Linked DNA regions of Rattus norvegicus. The protein of the gene in region 1 purifies or fractionates together with the protein of each later gene. This does not show direct contact. Links are inferred from orthologs where the notes say so. Each region holds a gene or a part of one and is shown in the gene's direction. Other genes may lie near its edges. The genes, in order: Srpk3, Ebna1bp2, Son, Ftsj3 and Ccdc86.

What was found.
Region 2: the proteins of Srpk3 (region 1) and Ebna1bp2 purify together in Homo sapiens (affinity purification with mass spectrometry; 3 studies listed by BioGRID and IntAct, with this or other methods). This does not show direct contact. The link is inferred for Rattus norvegicus from reciprocal best matches to the Homo sapiens genes SRPK3 and EBNA1BP2.
Region 3: the proteins of Srpk3 (region 1) and Son purify together in Homo sapiens (affinity purification with mass spectrometry; 3 studies listed by BioGRID and IntAct, with this or other methods). This does not show direct contact. The link is inferred for Rattus norvegicus from reciprocal best matches to the Homo sapiens genes SRPK3 and SON.
Region 4: the proteins of Srpk3 (region 1) and Ftsj3 purify together in Homo sapiens (affinity purification with mass spectrometry; 3 studies listed by BioGRID and IntAct, with this or other methods). This does not show direct contact. The link is inferred for Rattus norvegicus from reciprocal best matches to the Homo sapiens genes SRPK3 and FTSJ3.
Region 5: the proteins of Srpk3 (region 1) and Ccdc86 purify together in Homo sapiens (affinity purification with mass spectrometry; 3 studies listed by BioGRID and IntAct, with this or other methods). This does not show direct contact. The link is inferred for Rattus norvegicus from reciprocal best matches to the Homo sapiens genes SRPK3 and CCDC86.

The regions. Positions count from the first base shown.
Region 1 is NC_086039.1:156,660,556-156,664,801, forward strand, and holds the start of Srpk3 (SRSF protein kinase 3), read left to right. Parts: upstream 1-1,446; coding exon 1,447-1,502; intron 1,503-1,579; coding exon 1,580-1,710; intron 1,711-1,884; coding exon 1,885-1,993; intron 1,994-2,093; coding exon 2,094-2,181; intron 2,182-2,480; coding exon 2,481-2,568; intron 2,569-3,044; coding exon of another isoform or gene 3,045-3,050; coding exon 3,051-3,157; intron 3,158-3,228; coding exon 3,229-3,394; intron 3,395-3,491; coding exon 3,492-3,517; intron 3,518-3,992; coding exon of another isoform or gene 3,993-4,004; coding exon 4,005-4,125; intron 4,126-4,213; coding exon 4,214-4,246. UniProt on the Homo sapiens protein: Serine/arginine-rich protein-specific kinase which specifically phosphorylates its substrates at serine residues located in regions rich in arginine/serine dipeptides, known as RS domains.
Region 2 is NC_086023.1:137,432,338-137,436,334, forward strand, and holds the start of Ebna1bp2 (probable rRNA-processing protein EBP2), read left to right. Parts: upstream 1-1,196; 5' UTR 1,197-1,270; coding exon 1,271-1,336; intron 1,337-1,411; coding exon 1,412-1,495; intron 1,496-1,690; coding exon 1,691-1,863; intron 1,864-2,401; coding exon 2,402-2,525; intron 2,526-3,412; coding exon 3,413-3,502; intron 3,503-3,747; coding exon 3,748-3,823; intron 3,824-3,997. Other genes in the region: Cfap57 (cilia- and flagella-associated protein 57), read right to left, coding at 528-684. UniProt on the Homo sapiens protein: Required for the processing of the 27S pre-rRNA.
Region 3 is NC_086029.1:44,391,472-44,394,981, forward strand, and holds part of Son (protein SON), read left to right. Parts: intron 1-65; coding exon 66-226; intron 227-456; coding exon of another isoform or gene 457-462; exon of another isoform or gene 463-1,971; intron 1,972-2,125; coding exon 2,126-2,272; intron 2,273-2,558; coding exon 2,559-2,747; intron 2,748-2,844; coding exon of another isoform or gene 2,845-3,099; exon of another isoform or gene 3,100-3,510. UniProt on the Homo sapiens protein: RNA-binding protein that acts as a mRNA splicing cofactor by promoting efficient splicing of transcripts that possess weak splice sites.
Region 4 is NC_086028.1:91,684,370-91,688,559, reverse strand, and holds the start of Ftsj3 (pre-rRNA 2'-O-ribose RNA methyltransferase FTSJ3), read left to right. Parts: upstream 1-1,380; 5' UTR 1,381-1,417; intron 1,418-1,501; 5' UTR 1,502-1,527; coding exon 1,528-1,594; intron 1,595-1,762; coding exon 1,763-1,868; intron 1,869-2,330; coding exon 2,331-2,377; intron 2,378-2,478; coding exon 2,479-2,558; intron 2,559-3,106; coding exon 3,107-3,206; intron 3,207-3,291; coding exon 3,292-3,486; intron 3,487-3,579; coding exon 3,580-3,695; intron 3,696-3,786; coding exon 3,787-3,891; intron 3,892-3,970; coding exon 3,971-4,071; intron 4,072-4,190. Other genes in the region: Psmc5 (26S proteasome regulatory subunit 8), read right to left, coding at 296-367, 969-992.
Region 5 is NC_086019.1:217,018,636-217,022,682, reverse strand, and holds the start of Ccdc86 (coiled-coil domain-containing protein 86), read left to right. Parts: upstream 1-1,243; 5' UTR 1,244-1,263; coding exon 1,264-1,964; intron 1,965-4,047.

The DNA.
Region 1 (4,246 bases):
TGGGTGTTTTGCCTGCATGTATGTCTATATATTCCTTGTGTGTGATGGCCAGGAAGACCAGAAGAGGGTGTCAGTCTTCTGGTAACTGGAGTTGTAGAAGACATGTAAGTTGTCACATGGGTGTTGGGAATTTAACTTGGACAATAGCAGCCAGTATTCTTTTTATTTTTTATTTTTTTTAGATTTATTTATATGGGTACACTGTAGCTGTTTTCAGACACACCAGAAGAGGGCATTGGATCCCATTACAGATGGTTGTGAGTCACCATGTGGTCGCTGGGATTTGAACTCAGGACCTCTGGAAGAGCAGTCAGTGCTCTTAATTACTGCACCATCTCTCCAGGACATTTTTATTTTTAAAGATGGGGTTTCATGCATTCCAGGCTGGCCTTGAACTTGCTATGTAGCTGAGCATAACCTGGAACTTCTGGGTACTTCTTGAGTACTGAGATTACAGGCACATTCCACCACCAAAACTGGTTTATGAAATACCATCACTCTACCAACTTTAGAAAGCCCAGAAGTTCAAGAATGTATCAGTTATTTTCCCAGCACTCTGTAGCATGCTGGCGCACTGTGCCCTGAATGCTTCTGGGGACATAATGCTTTCTCGTTCCTCAAGATGCACAAGATTCCTCAGTTACCAACTAGCTCATGGACAACAACTGTGAGGTTTTTTTTCTTCTCCTGGTGGACATGGAAGAGTTGGCCCAAATGGGAACCTGCAAATGCTGATGGAGACAGCAAGGCAGAAATGACCAGCTCTAGCCCTAAGGGATGCTATGCAAGTCTGAGGGCCTGTTGCTTCTGATGGGAGGAATGAGTTGCCTTTAGCTCTTGCCCTTGACCCAGCCACATAGAGGAAAGATCTGGGCTCCCACCTGTATGGGGGAGTATCTATGAGTTAAAATAGAGCTGGGATCAGGGTTGAGGATGAGCAGAGCATAGGGTTCAGATGGGATTGGCGGGGGTCACCTCCAAAAGTATACTCACACAGGTTAAGTGGGCAGTTAAAGAATGTATCAAGTACCCTGCAGCATTTGGAGAGAGCTCAGCCTAAAGACCTGGTCACCATAACAACTCCATTCTTTCATAGGAGCCTCCTCTCCCTGTTAGAGCGTTAGAGCATAGGAGCTCCATCTCCATGTAGATGTCTTCCTTGGCTAGTCCTACACTGTAGGGAATCAGCCTAGGAACTGAGTTGCTATCATAACTGCAGCTTGGTGGCTCCCTCTGTCTCTAGAGTGTGGGTGAAAGGGGGGGCAGGGCTACCATCAGTGCACTCCCCCCTCCCTGTGCTGCATACCTTGCCCACAGCTGAGCAGCTGGGAGGCTATTTATAAAGGCGGGTGAGATCAGCGGCAGAAGCTATAAATGCACTGGCCACGGCTGGGCCCCACAGGAACAGTGGTCCAGTGCACCAGAGCTTTGGGCTGCGACACGAGGATGAGTGCCAGTGCCGGTGGTAGTGGTGGTATGGACTGTGGTGGCAGCAGCAGCAGGTATGACCAAGCTGGGGAGAGTGGGGTCACCTGCACCTTGTGAGCTCACTGTCTGCATCCTCCCTCTTCACCCACAGCTCTCAGACTTCCTGTGGGCCTGAGTCCTCAAGCTCTGAATTAGCTCCAGCCACACCAGCACCTCGTTTGCTGCAGGGACTCCTGGGCTCTGATGATGAGGAGCAGGAAGACCCTAAGGATTATTGCAAGGGTAAGTCCTGGCTGCATGTGGCCAGCGAGATTGCCACTGCACGGGCTCAGGACAGCTTGGGTGTAAAAAGTTGCCAAAAGTAGGCCTACATGAGACGGATGACCAGCAGGACATTGATATTGAGGTATAAGGGAGAGAAATGTCCTACTCTGATCTATTGGCTCCCTTCTACAGGTGGTTACTACCCAGTGAAGATCGGTGATTTGTTCAATGGGCGGTACCATGTGGTACGAAAGCTAGGCTGGGGCCATTTCTCTACTGTCTGGCTCTGCTGGGATATTCAGTGAGTGACTGCGATCTGCCCGTGGGTTTGGTTGAGGCTACCACTCTGACCATGTGACTGTGACAAGGTCTGGCAGCCTATGAGGGTCTCCATATTACAGGCGCAAGCGCTTTGTGGCTCTGAAAGTAGTGAAGAGCGCAGGACATTACACAGAGACAGCCGTGGATGAGATCAAGCTCCTGAAATGTGTGAGGCGCCTCCCCTACTGCTCCCGGCCCCTTGAACTGCCTTGGGCCTGGCAATGTGGGTGCAGGGCCTGCTGGGGCCCTGAAGAGTGGGGCGGGGCTCCCAGAGGGGGCAGGCTCCAGCTGGCTCTGCCAAGCAAAAGGACCCGGAGAGCAGAGGCCTGAAAGAGGCAGCTGGCTCTCTTTAAGTGGGCCCCAGCTGGACTGGGAAAGGGGGCCAAAAGTGCTTCAGGGCATATGAGCAGAGCAGCTGTTGGGGAGCAGGTTGGGAGTCATCTGTGGCTCCTTGCCTTTTGTTCCAGGTTCGGGACAGTGACCCTAGTGACCCCAAAAGAGAGACCATTGTTCAACTTATCGATGACTTCAGGATCTCAGGAGTTAATGGAGTCCGTATCCTTTGCAAAATGAGCAATATGGCAGTCAAGGAGCCACAATGCACCATGGGATTTAGCCCTTGCAGGGAGAACCTATTAAACAACTCCATCCCTTTGGGCGCTTGTGTTTCTGAGTAGGGGAAACACAGGTAATTAGGTTGACAGTGATTATCTGTGACTAGCAGATAATCTGTGATTATCTGCAGAGTACTCCCAAATTACGAGGCTACTTTTGAGGACTACTTGGGCAGAAGAGTAAGGCTGGAGTGAGACATCTGTAGGATGACAAGAGGTACCATCCTAACTGGCACATCTTTGTCAGTGACAGAAACATTCTAAATAATAAACTGGGACAGTAGTGGCCACTAAGATGGTCCAGAGAAAGCCCTACTTCCCTGATCTTTGCATTTCTAGAGTCTAGGTCCTCCTCCATGATGGAGGGTAGGTAAGCCTGTGCCTTAGCTACGTGTTGCTGACTGCCCTTCACTCCAGGTCCAGATGTATGCATGGTGCTAGAGGTCCTGGGCCACCAGCTCCTGAAGTGGATCATCAAGTCCAATTACCAGGGCCTGCCTGTGCCCTGTGTTAAGAGCATCGTTAGGCAGGTAGGTGCTGCCCCCATGCTGCTCAGGTTGGCTGGGTATGGTTGTTAGGGTTCAGCTGTAGCTTTTGCCAGGTGCTGCATGGTCTGGATTACCTCCATACTAAGTGCAAGATCATCCATACGGACATCAAGCCTGAGAACATTCTACTGTGTGTTGGAGATGCCTACATCAGGCGCCTGGCTGCTGAAGCCACAGAGTGGCAGCAGTCAGGGGCCCAGCCCCCATCCCGCTCCACAGGTACCAAGAGCATGTGTGGGGACTGACACCAGGACTCTGGACCTCAATCCCTACCTGAATTACTATTCTTTTTTCTCTCCCCACCCCTCACACCCAGTCAGCACTGCCCCCCAGGAGGTCTTGGTAAGTTGTGGCACCCCTTCTTTCCCTGTCTCCGCTTCCAATCCAAGCTAGATGAGGCCATGTCCTCAGAGCTTGGTTCTTCTGCCACAGTTGTTCCATCTTTTGAACTTCTAAAAAGCTGGGTACCTGAGAAGAGAGTGATTAGACAGTGTATCATGTGCTCCAAACTGCCTCTGGTGGCCAATGGGCCCACTACCACCTCAATGGAAGGATATTGTGCCTTCCCCAAATGGCTACTTCAGGCAGCTTCATCCAGGGCTGGGAGTAGACAAGGAGCAGTTTAGGGTAGGCCCACTAGGTTCTCCCCAAACCACAAAGCTTTAAGAAGTAGGATAGGAGAAGAAGCAGAGAAATGGATGAGGGGCTGGGATTAAGGGTGAGACAAGATAGTACCCATGTTCTGATACCCAGGGGAGTTAGTTCTGGGGTTCAGGGCTGGGCAGGGAAACCTGGCAGGTAACCCTGACTCTGGCAGCAGACTGGTAAGCTGTCCAAAAACAAGAGGAAGAAGATGAGGCGCAAAAGGAAGCAACAGAAAAGGCTGCTGGAGGAGCGGCTGAGGGACTTGCAGAGGCTGGAGGCTATGGAGGCTGCAGTACAAACTGAGGGTGAGGGGCCAGAGAGGGCACTGGGCCACTAAGCATGCATGTGGGCTGCAGGCTTCTACTCATGTTCCCCTCTGCCCCTTCTCCTCAGACTCCAGCTCAAGACTAGAGCAGGGCAGTGGCT
Region 2 (3,997 bases), on another chromosome or scaffold:
AGATAAAATTTCCAGTGTCTCCATCATACGAGGGTTTGATGAAGGTCATGAACTCTCGAAACTATTAGACTCAAAAGAGGTTTCTGGTGAGGACAAACCCGACTGCAGGAGAATGCAAGAAAAACCACTGTTTAAAATAACTCTTCTTTGTCACTGTGAAAAAGTACTTTTTTTTTTCTTCTTTTTTTCGGAGCTGAGGACCGAACCCAGGGCCTTAGGCTTGCTAGGCAAGTGCTCTACCACTGACCTAAATCCCCAACCCGAAAAAGTACTTTTAAAATGAGTGTTATTTTATGTGTCATTCTGGCTACTTGAGTTGGGTTAATCTAAGATTAAACAGTGTAAATCGACATTTATTTTGTCTGCATTTATAAAACTATGTGGATAACCCAGTTATTAAAAAAAAAAAAAAAGATCTTCCCAATCGTTGAGATTGTGCGGTTCTGTGCAGCACATGCCTTTAAATGTATGTGTCAGGATGGGAAGGGTGGGTTTTTTTTCTTTTCTTTTCTTTTCTTTTTTTTTACCTGCAATGAATTTTTGCCATTTCTGATCTAGATTGTACTTCACACAGTGATTTCCTGAAGGAAATATAACGATCTGTTCATCGAAGAAGAAGATGTTGTTGGTCACGTGAGACCGAAGACCAAAAACATGAAGCGACTGAGCTACCACGGTGGACATGGTACCTGTCAAAGAGTATTGTAAAAGATTAAAAAAAGAGGGGCTGGAGAGATGGCCCAGCCGTTAAAGGCTAGGCTCACAACCAAATATATAAAAAAAGAGGCAGGCGGGTGGGAGTAAAGACATAAGAGTGTATCTCCCTGCCCCACCCATGGCCCCGCCCCACCCTGGGCCCGCCCCACCCTGACCCCGCCTCGCCCCTCCATCGCCCCGCCCCCAGGCTCCTCTTCCTCTTCAGCCCACTCCCGGGGCTCTTTCCAAGCTTTGCCTTCCTCCCATGCACTCCCAACGCCTCCAGGCCTTTAGGTGGACCCCAGAGAAACTATTCACCTCTTGCTTCACGACTCTGGATTACTATACAACGTAGCGACCCGCAGGTGTTCTTCCTAAAGAGCCGGAGCAATCCGGGCACGCCCAAACGCCAGAGCAGTTCCTATAGCAACGAGAAAACCGGAAGTTTGGCTCTGCACCCGGAAGCGGAAGTACTTGTTGAAAAGCCAGAGGCTAGTGGAGAAGTTGCTGGCGCTGGTGCGTCTTGCTGGCACGTGGAGTGGCAGCCGAACCTCGCGGGGCGGGAAGCCGCGAGATGGACACCCCTCCGCTCTCAGACTCGGACTCCGGGTCGGATGAGTGCCTGGCCTCAGATCAAGAGGTAGACGCTAGCGGGGTAGGGGGTGGAACGGGAACTTTATTTAGCTCTTCGGTACTGAGGCGTCCCGGTCTATAGTTGCAGGATGCGTTTTCCCGCGGACTCCTAAAGCCAGGCCTCAATGTCGTGCTAGAGAAGCCGAAGAAGGCGGTGAATGACGAGGTGAGCTCGTGCGAGGGTCGGGGTCCTTGGAACGGGATGTGCACAGGCGCTGTGCTTCTTGGGAGACCGATTCTTGTGGGACAGATGTACCCCTGCGCAGCGGGCGTCATCCTTGCGGGTATTTGAGCATAGGACTTTGGGTTTGAGGGAGACAGAGTCGCGGTTCTCATGAGTGCCGTGTCTGACTTTATCTAGAATGGCCTGAAGCAGTGCTTGGCTGAATTCAAACGGGATCTGGAGTGGGTTGAAAGGCTCGATGTGACCCTGGGTCCTGTGCCTGAAGCCAGTGAAACTCAGTCAACACCCCAGAACAAGGACCAGAAGAAAGGTGTTAATCCAGAAGACGACTTCCAGAGGGAAATGAGTTTGTACGTTTGTTGTGGGTCCTTCTACAGAGTTACAGAAGGAGGATCTTAGTGTGTCTGCAACCTCAGGGGCACTGGGGAGTTAGCATGAGCCAAGAGAGTGGAGCTAGGGGGGTTCCTCTGGTTGAAAGAATAGATTCTTGGTCACCATTTAACCAGCACCCTGCTTGAGGGATGTTTCAAAAATAATTCATTTGAAGTCTGGGTGCCTCCAATCGTCAGAATAGACCTTTGCCTAGGGAGTGCTTGAGTGGTCTTTCTGTAACGATTGGGAAACAGTTCATAGTTTGCTCAATATTTTTTAATAAGCTCGTTTTAAACCTTCTTATTCTTGGAAGTATTTTCCCTTTCTAAATAAACATAAAGTGAAATTTCAGTTATATACGAAATTAGTGGAGTTTTAGTTGACTCGTTTGTTTTATCTTGCCAGTGAAGGTGGGATGCGACAGCTCTGAGGTTAGTTAACTTCTGAGAGGCAGTAAGAAGAAGCGAATGCCTCTTCCCTCCCCTCCCCTCATTTCACTCTGTCCTGTAATTTCAGCTACCGCCAGGCCCAGGCTGCTGTGCTTGCAGTATTACCCCGACTCCACCAGCTCCAAGTCCCTACGAAGAGGCCCACTGATTATTTTGCAGAAATGGCCAAGTCTGATCAACAGATGCAAAAGGTAAGTTTTTCCTCTGGAAAGCGGAGGTTTCTCCTGAAGTCTATTCGTTCCAGCTGGCTCATTTCCTGTAGTCTTTCAAAAAGGAAACAAAGATTTATACTATTTGTAACTAGTATTTCTATAGTCTCTGCTTCAGAGGCATGGCAGTCACTTAGATAAATTAGGGAGAGACGGTCTGGAAGAAGTGTGGTCCTTGCAATAAGAAGGCTTGTGTATTTCCTCTCTGGCAGGGTGAGTGGAATGGTACAGACACAGTAGTCTTATAGTTCTGGGTCCAGCAATGCCAAGAATACTATTGCTTCTAGACCGATTTTTCTTCTCTGGGCCTTTAGCTTTCTAGAACTGAAGGCTTGATATCTAGCTAAGATATGGTATGATTTAGAGTTAGGGGGATTTGATCTTCATTCAACTTTGGGAGAAAAAAACTCAATGTCCCACCCAGGATGTATTTAAATTGTACCATTGGTCTCAGTCTTCATCTTAGAGAATTACAGGTCGTACCCCAAGAAGCTGCCCGTGTGAGACGAGCACAGATCGTCTCTCTCTCACAGTCACACTGATAACAAACACTGTCAGTACAGTGTGTGTGTGATTGAAGAGGCAAGGTGTGAGTGTGCAGGAACTTTATTACATAGGTGGGCCATTAGAGGAGAAGGCTCAAGTTTAGCCTTAGTCTTTGGGGAAACAGGTCCTGTGTGACAAGCAGGCAGCTTTGTGACGGAACATGCCTGTCTGGAGAGGCAGGGCCGCTTCTCAGCAGTGGCTGCCCACTGACACTCAGCTTTAGGACTGTATTGTCCTTAATGTGGAAGCTTTCAGAGCTAGTAAAACTTGGAGCCCCCTTCTAGTGTGCTCCAGATAGTGCCTAACAACATCCCGTGCTTTAGATTCGACAGAAGCTGCAGACTAAACAGGCTGCCATGGAGAAATCTGAAAAGGCCAAGCAACTTCGAGCGCTTAGGAAATACGGAAAGAAGGTGAGAAAGGGCACCTGTGTGGAATGGCACCGCCGGGCACGCCAGGGCTGATCGTGGTGGGGTTTGGTTCTGGCCCTGTGCATGTTTGATCCTGATAAAGTGTCTGCTGGTGTCCCCAAACACAGGTTCACTTGGCACTGTGGCACACCTGGGTGTATCCAACATAGTGTGGTAGCGGCGGCTGAGCTGGCAGTGTCTGGAGTCACGGTTTGGGATGCAGGACTAACCATGTATCTGTCTCACAGGTGCAAACTGAGGTCCTTCAGAAGAGGCAGCAGGAGAAAGCGCATATGATGAATGCCATCAAGAAGTACCAGAAAGGTCAGCGTGTCTGTCTGCTAAGAATGTAGGGAAACCTGCGTATCAGTGCCTTAGAAGCGAAGGGATTCTCTAGTTCTTTGGAGTTATCTTGGCTTTCATCTGCTAGGCTTATGTTTGGGAAATGTTGTGGGGAACAAGATGTGCTCCTTCAGATGCAGTTAGGGAATAGCAGGC
Region 3 (3,510 bases), on another chromosome or scaffold:
TTTGACAGAACTAAAAACGCATATAGCTTTTAGGAAAACTGCTTCCTGTATTTTTCCTCTTACAGATAAGGCTCAATTACTTGAAATAGCCAAAGCTAATGCAGCTGCCATGTGTGCTAAGGCTGGTGTTCCTTTGCCACCAAACCTAAAGCCTGCACCTCCACCTACAATAGAAGAGAAAGTTGCTAAAAAGTCTGGAGGAGCTACCATAGAAGAACTAACTGAGGTAAGCTAGACAGAATTTGTTTCCATTCTTAAATGGATTTTTCCATGGATGTTGACTCTGGAGCGTGCCAAAACCTGAATTGTGGGCTGAACTGATAATGGCTGGCACCGAGTGCCCAAAACCCGAAATACAGATGTGGCAGCGGCAGAAGCTCTGTTTAGCAGGCCATTATCCGGGATGGCTAAGCTCCGCTAGCTAAAAAGTTACTTCCCATTACTTTTGCTTTCCAGTTTTAGAAGCCAAACTGACTGAGGAGTGGAACGGTTCGTTTGAATGGAGGAGGTGTTGAGTGAGCAACACGCAGAAGCTCGCCTACAGTTTCGTTTCCATTCACGACGTGTTCACTGATCGCCAAGAGTGTACTGCATATACGCAAAGACACAGACAATCTTCAGAAATGATCTTTTGCCACCGGAGCTTGGAAATTAATGAGAATAGCTGGCCATTGCCTGAAAGGAACTTCTTTCGCATCAACATTTCGGGTTTTGGCTGTTTGGTACCAGCCATTGGCGATAATGGCCGGCCATTATCAGTTCTTCCTGCGGTTCGGGTTTTGGCAGTAACATATTTTAAATATACTTATTTTTGTTTTTAAAAATTTGATCTTTTGAAATTGAGGCTTTTGGGGGAAGCTTTGTTTTACTTTAATATTTTTTTGTGTGTGTGGGGGAAGACGCTGAAATATTGCTGCTAGGATCCAGAAATAACACACTGTTTCATATACTGAAACTTGCTATTGGCTAGCCTTATGCCAGCCTGCCACTGTCAACATATTCTGTTCCCATTGGTTACATGCTTGATACATACACTCTTGTGTTTTTGGCTAATTGAGCTTTTTAATTCTATTGTAATATTTTCAATTGATAATAGATGTGATAAATTCTGCTTGTATAGACAGGTCTACTAAAATTTACTCTTAACCTTTTTATAAGTGGAATCTGCTCCTTTGCTCCTGAGGAAGGACTTGACTTTGTATGCTGGACTGCATCAATTGCGCCCTCTCCATCATGCCTTATTTTCCATTCTTAAGTTACAGTCCTTAAATAAATTTTAAAAAACATTTATGGAGAGAGATGTTACTATTTACCCTGCCACAGATGTTTAAAATCTTTTACCATACATTTGGGGATTATAAAGTTAAATTTGTTTCTTCACTTAGATTCATTATAGTATGAATTATAACTTAAAAAAGACCTAGCAAAAAGCCTCTATTGCTTACTTACCAAATGCAAGCTCTTTATCTAAAACTTTATGAACGCTTAGCGTTTGCTATTGTTTGCCTCATCTTCAGCGTTCTATCCCTCTGACAAGTCTCTCCCAACTTGCTCACCACCACCTGACCAAGATGACTTCCCTTTCCTTCCTATTTCTTGTTCTTTACTGTGGGAATTTTGCTTAGAACTCTTGAAGGAATATTCTTTGATCCTTAAACCCTGCCTGAATATCCTCTTTACGCCTTTGTTCTCTAGCACTATGTACCGTGTGTATTACATCAGTTTGCACTTGTTACTGTGTTGCTCTGTAAAAAGGTTCTTCAATTACTTCATGTGGATGTACTTTTGTCTCGTATTAGATTGTAAGCTCCTTTGGAGCAGGGACCATGTCTTTCCCTTTTTTTATCTTCTTTCTTTCTCTCTCTCTCTCTCATTTTTTTTTTTTTTTTTGTATTTTTTTCCCAAGACAGTGCCCAGTACAGTGCTCTGCACATAGTAGGTGCTCAATAAATGTTGTTGACTGACTGAGCAGCCAGTGTGTGTTTAAATAGTAGCTGATGATCAAAATTATGGTTTTATAAGCTATCATAAGTGTTCTTTGAATTGATCATACAATATTCTTTTGAAAAAGTTACATGCTGTTTTTGTAAGCCATATTCATCTTTTGTTTGTTTTTACTTTAAAGAAATGCAAACAGATTGCACAGAGTAAAGAAGATGATGATGTAATAGTGAATAAACCTCATGTTTCGGATGAAGAGGAAGAAGAGCCTCCTTTTTATCATCATCCCTTTAAACTCAGTGAACCCAAGCCCATTTTTTTCAATTTGAATGTGAGTATTAGTAAAGAGATAAGGACTGATGAAGCATCACGGCTCATCGGGCTGTTGTAACACCCATGTGGAGTTTAGCTATTGTGATGAATAGTGACAGCATTTCCTGAGTGTAGGGCTGGGAGAGTTCTGTGGTAGTGAGTGTGCCCAGGATGTGTGAGGCTGTAGGTTCAACTCCTGGCACTGACAAAATAAAAGGAACCTTTCCTTTAGACTGCATTGAGATTCTTTAGAAACTGTAGAAGGTGTCTGTTACAATGGATTCTAACTAAATACTGTATTTCAGATTGCTGCAGCAAAGCCAACTCCACCAAAAAGCCAAGTAACATTAACAAAGGAGTTTCCTGTGTCATCTGGATCTCAACATCGGAAAAAGGAAGCGGATAGTGTTTATGGAGAGTGGGTTCCAGTAGAGAAAAATGGCGAAGAAAGCAAAGATGACGATAATGTGTTCAGCAGCAGCTTGCCCTCAGAGGTAAGTAGGAGGAACACCACATGTTTGCTTTAATATCTGAATCTTCCATTTTATTGTTATTTTATATCTGATTTGGATTCTGTTTCACTCTTCTTAGGGCCGGGTTAAACGGCAGGGCCGGGTTAAACGACAGATGAAACAGCCCGCAGCTTCTCATTTGACAGTAACTCGATGCAATTCACTTTGTGGAACGAAGCCACAAAGTGAAAAGCATCGAATTGCAGAGAAAAGTGTTATCACATCCCTACCCAACATTGGGCCCTCCATGCACTTGTGGGAAGGTAGCCCAAGGTACAACTATTTAGCTTCCCGATTTGCTTCAAGGCTCTATAGCTCTAGATTTTGGTGGTAGCAAGTTTATTGGGTGGAGGGATTGAGGGGAGAGAAGGCAGATCCTGAGGTTCAACACAAGAACTGCGTTGAGAAAGTTATTTTAGGCTGATGTGAACATCTTGGGTTCATAGCCCATTCCCTGACGTGATGGTATCTTACTATTTCTCTGGGTTTTCAGATAGCCTTTGGTTTCAGTCATTTCCCTTCCTTGTGCTACCTTAGCCCTTTTGAATTCTTGTGTTTAACCTAGTGTTCAGCCTTGGTTCTCCATTCCCTTCTCCTTCCCCTCTTTGCTACTATTAAAAGTTGGAGGAGTGGAATTTTATATATTGAAATTTCTCAAGGCAATAGTTGTATCTTGTCAAAATGACACAGTAACAATGCCAAATGTCAAAACAACCCCATTAAAATGCCGCCTGATTAAGTACTG
Region 4 (4,190 bases), on another chromosome or scaffold:
GCAGAGGGCCTGGGTTTAGTTGTCACTCTAAGTGCCTGGGAAAGATAACTATCTGTAACTCAAGTTTCAGGGGATCCACTGCCCTCTTCTGCCCTGCGCAGGCACCTGCATACATATGATGCATATAAGCTTACGAAAGCACACATATACACATATGCATAATAAATTAACAACTGAAGAGCTACAAGAACGACACTGGAAAAGAACACTTTGCTGCACTCCCAGTGGAAAAAGGACGTTGAGAAATCTGCACCTACCAGCTAGCTCTCAAGCTCCCTCTGGTGTCTGGACTTACCTGGAGTTCTTCAATCTTGGACAGATAATATTGACGGAGTCCACTGCCTGCCTTCCCCTCTTCCAGTTCCATCTGAAGACAAGTGTAATTGTTAAACAGTTACGTAAACTACTAAGGGATAAAGCCAAAGTATTTTCAGGGCACTTTACCATATAGCTTAAGAAACAAGGCCAGGAAAGTATCATTCCCTTTTCCTCAGAAACTGGTTATCTCCATAGGTGAGGTCTGTGTGTTTGAACTGCAAAGGCTTAGTTATTGGTTCTAATCCTTCACTTTTGAATCCACTAAAAGGATGCAATTACCGCCTACCTTCGAAGACTTTTAGGAGGCTCAAGGGGCCATATACTTACAGAGCGCTTTGCTCTGTGGCAAGAGCTATACAAACCCAAGGTGTAACTACTACAGACAAAGGCAGAACAGAAGGACCAAGTCCAGGTCCCACCCAGGCCATTCCGGCTTGCCTAGCTCTTCATTCAGTTTTTACCCAGCCCTGTCCTGCTTACCGCGGGTGGCGCTGACACAGCAGATCCAGTTCCAGGCAGGGTCAAGTCTGACGTGGTCCACCCACCCCTGATCCACTCGACCCTTTTGCTAGTGGCCACCCCTCAGTTCAGATTTTGTGCACTCCACACTCGGCTTGGATGCCGCCCTGACGCCGCGGCAGAATCCTTACCTGCTCTGGCCCATCAAGCGCCATCTTCCCTCCTTCGGCAGGGACCGCCGGCATCCAAGTCACCCTATTGCGCAGGCGCGGAGCCGAAAGCGTGCGACCTGGGTCACGACCGAGAACAGTTCCGGGTCAATGGGCGGGGTGTGTGGTGAGACAATAACAGTGGCTTTATTACAGGCTCTACTGGCGGTTAGTAGGTTTGTAAAGAGATATATAACTTATGGCGGATGCTTCCTAGAGTCTAGGGAGTAGTTATTGTACTCTACTTCCTAGCCTCTACTTTTAACTTGCAAGACACGCTGACAAAATTTTTGGCCACACTCAAAATGGCGTAAATCAAGACGCTAGGAACACAGGGAGCGCGAGCGGAAGCGGAAGTACGATCACTACCCACATGTGCTACTTCCCTAAGTGTTGAAAACCTGCGGAGTTAAGGGCTATCTAACGTCTCGGTAAGTGATTGCTTCGCCACCCGAGGAACCGAAGCAAAAATCCAGCGCTCTGAAAGATATTCTCAACTTTTTCTTTCTCCCCAGAGTGAGTGATACTACCCCATCCCGCCATGGGCAAGAAAGGCAAAGTAGGCAAGAGCCGGCGGGACAAGTTCTATCACTTGGCCAAGGAGACCGGTGAGTGGGTTTGCGCTGCGTGAATAACATATCAGCCTTTACGCTTTTTCTAATATTGTGTTCCTTTTCCTTAGGGGGAGGGTGATGGGGTTGTGAGGCTGTGGAAGTCCTCTTAGAAAAGGCATCCGTAGACGTTATTGTTTTATACATCCACTCCCTACGGTCTAGGTTATCGTTCGCGTTCTGCCTTCAAACTGATCCAGCTCAATCGCCGCTTTCAGTTCCTTCAGAAAGCCCGGGCCTTGCTGGACCTGTGTGCTGCACCTGGAGGATGGTAATATTTGGTTGGCAGGGACTGCTTGTGATGATACGTCCCTTGCACTGGCTGGCTTTGAGTTGCTTTGGGGGAGGATGGAAATCCGATTATACAATTCAGATTAAATATTCCATAGCATGTGTCTCTCCTAAATTTTGGAAGTCAGTGTCATTCTTTTTTCCCCTCTCGTGGGACTGAACCTAAGGACTTACTCATGCTAGGCAGTCGCTCCACCACCGAGTTATATCTCCAATCTGCTTTCTTTTCATTGAGACAGGGACTCTCAGAAATTGCCCAGGCTGGCCTTGAACGTTTGGCCTTGATAGCTGGTAATGCAGCCCTGTGTTGCTACGCCCAGCAGCTTGCTTCTTGAATGTGTGCATAGACAATTTGGCCAAGACACTTAACAAGTGCCCCTTAAGAGGCTGGGAAATCACATTGCCAAGGGATGAAAGGTATTTAAACCTGTCTTTTCCACAGGCTGCAGGTGGCTGCCAAGTTTATGCCTGTATCCAGTCTTATTGTAGGTGAGTGACTCTTGGGTATTTGAGGGGGAGGGGTGGGAGAGGTATTAAATTTGTCCTACATCTCCCTCCACCCTGTAATACACCGACTTAACATCTTAAAGGAGTGGACCTGGTTCCAATCAAGCCTCTCCCCAATGTGGTGACTCTCCAGGAAGATATTACAACAGAACGCTGTAGGCAGGTAATAAGATCTCTCCTTCATTCCCTCTTATGTGCTGGCGCCCTTGCCTCCTGAAAGTGAGACATTTCCCAATTTACCATGGTTTCAAGTGCATGGCTAAAGAGACCGTGACAATCCTGGTCACCTTTCCATCTTTACCTGTTTTTTATTTCCCCTTTTTCCCTTGAGATAGAGCCTTGCTGGGTACTTGGGATAGTTTCTAACTATGTAGTTAGTCCACACTTATGTGGAGCTGGGTCCATGGCCTAGTTTTGCCTTGATCTTCCAGTCTGTCTGCCTCTTGAATACTGGGTTCCACGTGCCACCAAGCCTGGCATGGATAGTGCTGTGAACGGGTGGAAGACTCTTTGTTCAGTAAAGTTCTTTCCAGTGAACCAATTCTAAGCTTGGCAAAGATAGGTTGTGTTGTTGTTGTTGTTGTATGCCTAGTACCTGGCACTGTGATGCCAATGGTGGGCACTCACTCTGACTAGACGGATGACTGAATCAGAATTCTGTTCTTAGCAATCATTGTGTTTCCATTGCTACAAAGCCTTTACTTTCATTAGGCCCTGAGGAAGGAGCTGAAGACCTGGAAAGTTGATGTTGTGCTCAATGATGGGGCTCCCAATGTGGGGGCTAGTTGGGTCCATGATGCTTACTCACAAGGTACAGGGAACGTGGGCTTGGAGGGGAGGGTGGAGGTGGCGTGCCCTAAGGCTTCAGGGGTTCACTGGCTGTTTCTGTCCTACAGCTCACTTAACTCTGATGGCTCTGCGTTTGGCCTGTGACTTTTTGGCCCGTGGTGGTTGTTTCATCACGAAAGTCTTCCGCTCCCGAGACTATCAGCCTCTGCTGTGGATCTTCCAGCAGCTGTTCCACCGTGTCCAGGCCACCAAGCCCCAGGCCTCTCGTCACGAATCTGCAGAAATCTTTGTAGTCTGCCAAGGTAAGACACAACCCCTTCCTCTTGACACAGCCTTCTAATTATGAAAGCATACCTTTAATCTAGCAGAACTTTTACTCTCTCTTCTCATTTTAGGATTCCTGGCTCCGGACAAGGTTGATGCTAAATTCTTCGATCCCAAGTTTGCCTTTAAGGAAGTTGAAGTTCAGGCTAAAACTGTCACTGAGTTGGTGACAAAGAAGAAGCCAAAGGTGTTTTTATTGTTATTATTTTGAGAAACTGGGAGAACTTGATATCTTAGAATCGACTGTCTAGTAATCATCTTTTATTTCCCTTCCTAAGGCTGAAGGCTATGCTGAAGGTGACCTCACTCTGTATCACCGAACCTCAGTCACTGACTTCTTGCGAGCTGCCAATCCTGTTGACTTCCTCTCCAAGGCCAGCGAAGTGAGTTCCTAGATTGAGAGTCTATAGGAGGCCCAGAAACAAGGCCAGAACAACGTCCCATTCTTTCCCTCACAAACAGATCTCAATAGACGACAAAGAGTTGGCACAGCACCCAGCTACCACTGAAGATATCAGAGCATGCTGTCAGGACATCAAAGTGCTGGGGCGCAAGGAACTTAGGTACACAGGAATAAGGGCAACACTATGTTGGACTCTGGGGACCAGGCTTGTGTTAAGTTTATGGCTGAAGCCTGAACTCTGGCGTGTGGACTTTAAGAAGAGACAAAGATGGAGAAAGT
Region 5 (4,047 bases), on another chromosome or scaffold:
TTAACTCCATCAGTATGCATCTGAGACCATGTGTGCAGTGCCTAGGGGGTGTGTCCAAGAATTGGGCATCCACTTTCTACCCTGCAGAAACTTTTCTCTGGCTCTACATCTTCCTTGCCTCCTCCTGGGTCAGCATGTAACCATCCTGGCAGAAATGAAGGTATTCTAAAGAGACACTTTTGCCTATCAGACAATCAAACAAACAGTGGACTCCAAAGAAATGGGAATTTTCTCAGAATTCTCATGCTGGGAGAAGAAAAAAGGGTACCAGCCAGAGGGGAGACAAAAACGGGTACCAGCCAGAGGGGAAATTTGTCCCCTGGAAAGAGCTTGTCAGACCACCTACAGGATGAGACTAAAACCCAGATAATGGTGGGGCAATGGTGGACAGAGTCATACCTTGATAAGGACTACTTAAATGTATTTATCCTTGGCCCTCTATCTAAACTTTCTATCTAACTTTAGAACCCTGAGGTCGAATTTGGGTGATTCACAGAATCTCTTTGCCTCTCTTCCCAGTATGGCCATTTGAATAATTCTTTTTCTAAAGCTTTCCAATTTTAATTTGGCTCTTTCCGGTGGTTTGTTGACGATGGGGTAGCCAGACCTGACTTCGGGCACACGCTGTGACCCCCCAACATTGACAACAAAGCAGTCAGGGTTTTCTGGGCCTCAGACCTGACACTTCGCTGATTGAAACTGTTGAAGCATATCTGGGCACAGTAGTAAAAGAGATGGTAAGGGTGAGAACGTTTAAGAAAACTCAAAAATTGAAGATTTCCCACTCATGCAGACCCCCAGGGCCTCCTCCTTTGTTACACTGCGCAAAGCTACTATTACAAAAGATAAAACAAAAGAAAACGTGACGTATGCGGGCCCAGCTGTTCCAGAGTAAATTAACACGCTCAGCTCTGCCTACAAACTCCCTCCGCCTTTTTGCCAACCTCTTCTCTCAGGGAAAAAAGAAAAGGTATACCCCACTCCAACCCCGCTTCTCTTGCACCTAGAACTCGCGGTTTACAAAAACAAAAACGACCAAAAAAAAAAAAAAAAAAAAAAAAAAAAACCGCATCGCGGAAACCCAGCAACCAGACACAACACGCATGCGTCTACTAAGCCCAGCCCCCGGGACAAACATCCCCTGCTTTTCCACGCATCACTCTACCGCCAGTGCGCACTTCCTGCCCGGTACGGAAATAGACGAGTCTGACGTCATATGAAGGCGCCGACGATTCTGAAGGCTACGGAGACTACACGTGAGCCATGGGTACGCCGCTGAGGCGCAGCCGGCGGCTGGAAGGCCTAAACCCTCTGTCTCTGGAGAACCTTCCTGACCCCGAAGTCTCTCGGGCCAAACGGGCTCTTGTAGATTTCAAGTCGAACCCAGAAGAAACAAGAGAGCTCGAGTCTCCGAGAGTTCCGCCACTGGACCTTGTGTCTCCCCAACCTCAGCCGGAGACTAGCCCCGAATCACCCTGTCCTAAACAGGATGCAGGCTTTGGGTCCCCACAAAGGCAACCAGAGCCTCACCCTGGGTCCCTTCAACTTCATCAAGATCTGGGCCTGGATTCACCTGCAGGACAGACAGAGTCGAATCCGGAATCCCCGCAACGAGAGCAGTCATCCAAATTATCTCCCACACAGGACTCTGAGGTAGCCCACGCTAAGGAGGAGGTGATCCCAAGATCTCCCGAGCCTTGCCCGGGTCAGCAAGCACCGGGTCCCGAGCCCTCCCAGCCAGCACAGGAGCTGGCATTCCAGGCACCTAGCTCCCCAGAGCGCCAGCTGGAGCCAAGCAAGCTACCTCCGGCTGGAGAGTCAGTGACCGGAAGTCTCGACCTAAAGAAGCGAGTTATAGCTTCTCCCCAGGCCCCAGCGTCCAAGAAACTGAAGGAGGAGCTTCCTGTAATTCCGAAGGGGAAGCCCAAATCCGGGCGTGTGTGGAAAGACCGCTCCAAGAAGAGGTAAAGTGAGGACAGCATGGGCGATGTGTTGGGTTCTCCGTGCATTTGGACCTTGCCTTCGCCTGAATGAAATCCCAGACTTGAAAGAGCTCACCCGAGTAAAATTAACAAACAGGATCATGTCAAAATGCCTAAGGGAGATCCTCAGTGGTCTTGAGGTGTTCTTTTGAACTTCCTTTCCTTCCCTTTTTTTATTGCGAGGCAGGGTCTCACTGTGTGACAATGGCTGTCCTGAAATTCACAGAGATATGCTTGCTTCTGCCTTCCTAGTGCTGGGTTTGAAGGCATGTGCCACCTTGTCTGCCACATCTAGTGAGGGAAGCAGAGCAAGAAAGGCAGCCATTATAGTGAGATCCTTTTTACTGTAAAATATCATCACTGGTTCTGTGTCACTTCCTTAGGGATGGCCAGAGAGTGAGTCTTTCATAGCCAGCCACACATGTAATCACATTTAATCTTTCCCCTTTGGAGCAGGTGTTACTAGTATTAATATTGTACATCTGAAGAAAACAAGGCTCACGGAGGCTAATTGAGACACGGGATGGGAGCATAGATTTGACCGCAAAGCGAGTGAGCGGAACCCATTAACCTGCTTCTGTTGACCAGCTTCACTTGGGTTGCAGCCTTCTTAAGACATGGGGTCTTCCTTGTCCTTTCAGTGCTGGGGCATGGTAATGCTGAGTTTATATTTTTCAGTAAAGGAATGAGGAGGCTTATATGAAGGGCATTGTTTAGGCAGCAGGGAAAGAGAAGTGGGTTCAGTTGAAATTTCAGCTCTGGAGAAGAAGTAGGGTTGAAGTATCAGCTACTGGCCAAAGACAAGAATTCGTAAGAGAACAGGGCATCAGAGATTTTAAGAGGATGACATTGACGGATGATGGACTGTGCCAGGCTTTGTGCAGGCACTTTACAGATGTCATTTTGTTACTCTTAAAGCCTAAGCTCTGGGTATAACCCCTCCCCCAAGCATACTCCATTAAACTTAAGAAAGTTAAGCTTAAAGAGAAAGGCACCAATCAGAAAAACTTTGAAGCTGCTCCCAGCAAGTCACAGTAGCCAGGCCACTGATGGCCACAGGCAACCTGTTACCCTTCTATACTGTTATGTACACACAGGGGGGTGCCGTGGCTGAGAGGCTTCCTTGCCCAGGGTCTCATAGGAAGTAAATAATGGTCTCAGGACCAGACATCCAGGCCTGTTTTCCATCTCCAATAACTAGTGCTGAACATCGACTCTGCCTCAGTGCTGTAGCCACTTGCTACATTTACATTCACTATTAAATGAAATAATCTATGAGTCTTCTTAACACAAACTACAAATCAAGCGCTACAGCAGCCTATACGTAGTGATTCCCTTTCAGGAAGGGGCGGGGATCATTTCCATGACGGAACATTGTTGTCACTGATGCTCTAACAAGATATAGTATTATGTCTAGTGGCTCTGGTTTCTCCAGGCTTCCATCATCCTGTCCTTCCAGGATTCTCAAATTCCGGTTTGTTAAGAGTGAAAGGAAGTCCACAAGGTACCCACTGCTCTGCTTTTTGGAAGCTGGGTCTTGAGAAAGCTTGGGGACTTAGCAGAGAGGAGAATGCTGGTGTCAGAAGCTAGCGATGCAGTGGGAGGGGACAGAACCAGACTGCCTGTGAGTAAACCTGGTGCCAAGTTCCACACTGTGTGCCAGACTCTAGGAAGGGAGCAGACACTCAGAAATGCAGCATTGACCTTTGTCTGGTCAGCCACAGACATGCACCAAGGCCTTCAGAGACAGGGTTCCTCAAGATATCCTCTAACAGGCAAGTAAATAGGAACTCCTACACGAGTCAAGGTTGGAGTGTGGGAGGCAGAAGGGCCACTGTGAAAGGATCTGCTGAGGAGCCTTAGAGTTCTGGGGATAAGAGAGGGTTGGGGGGAGAACAGGCCCATGGGACACCCAGCAGACTGAGCAGGTAGTGGGGGAGAGATGTGAGGGCTTGTCTTCATTTTATTTTTACTTTTTATCACAGAAAAGGAAAGAGCTGAGTTTTATGAGTCCTATCACCAGTTTCAACAGTTTTCAGCATTTCCTGGCCCAGCTTTATCTTCT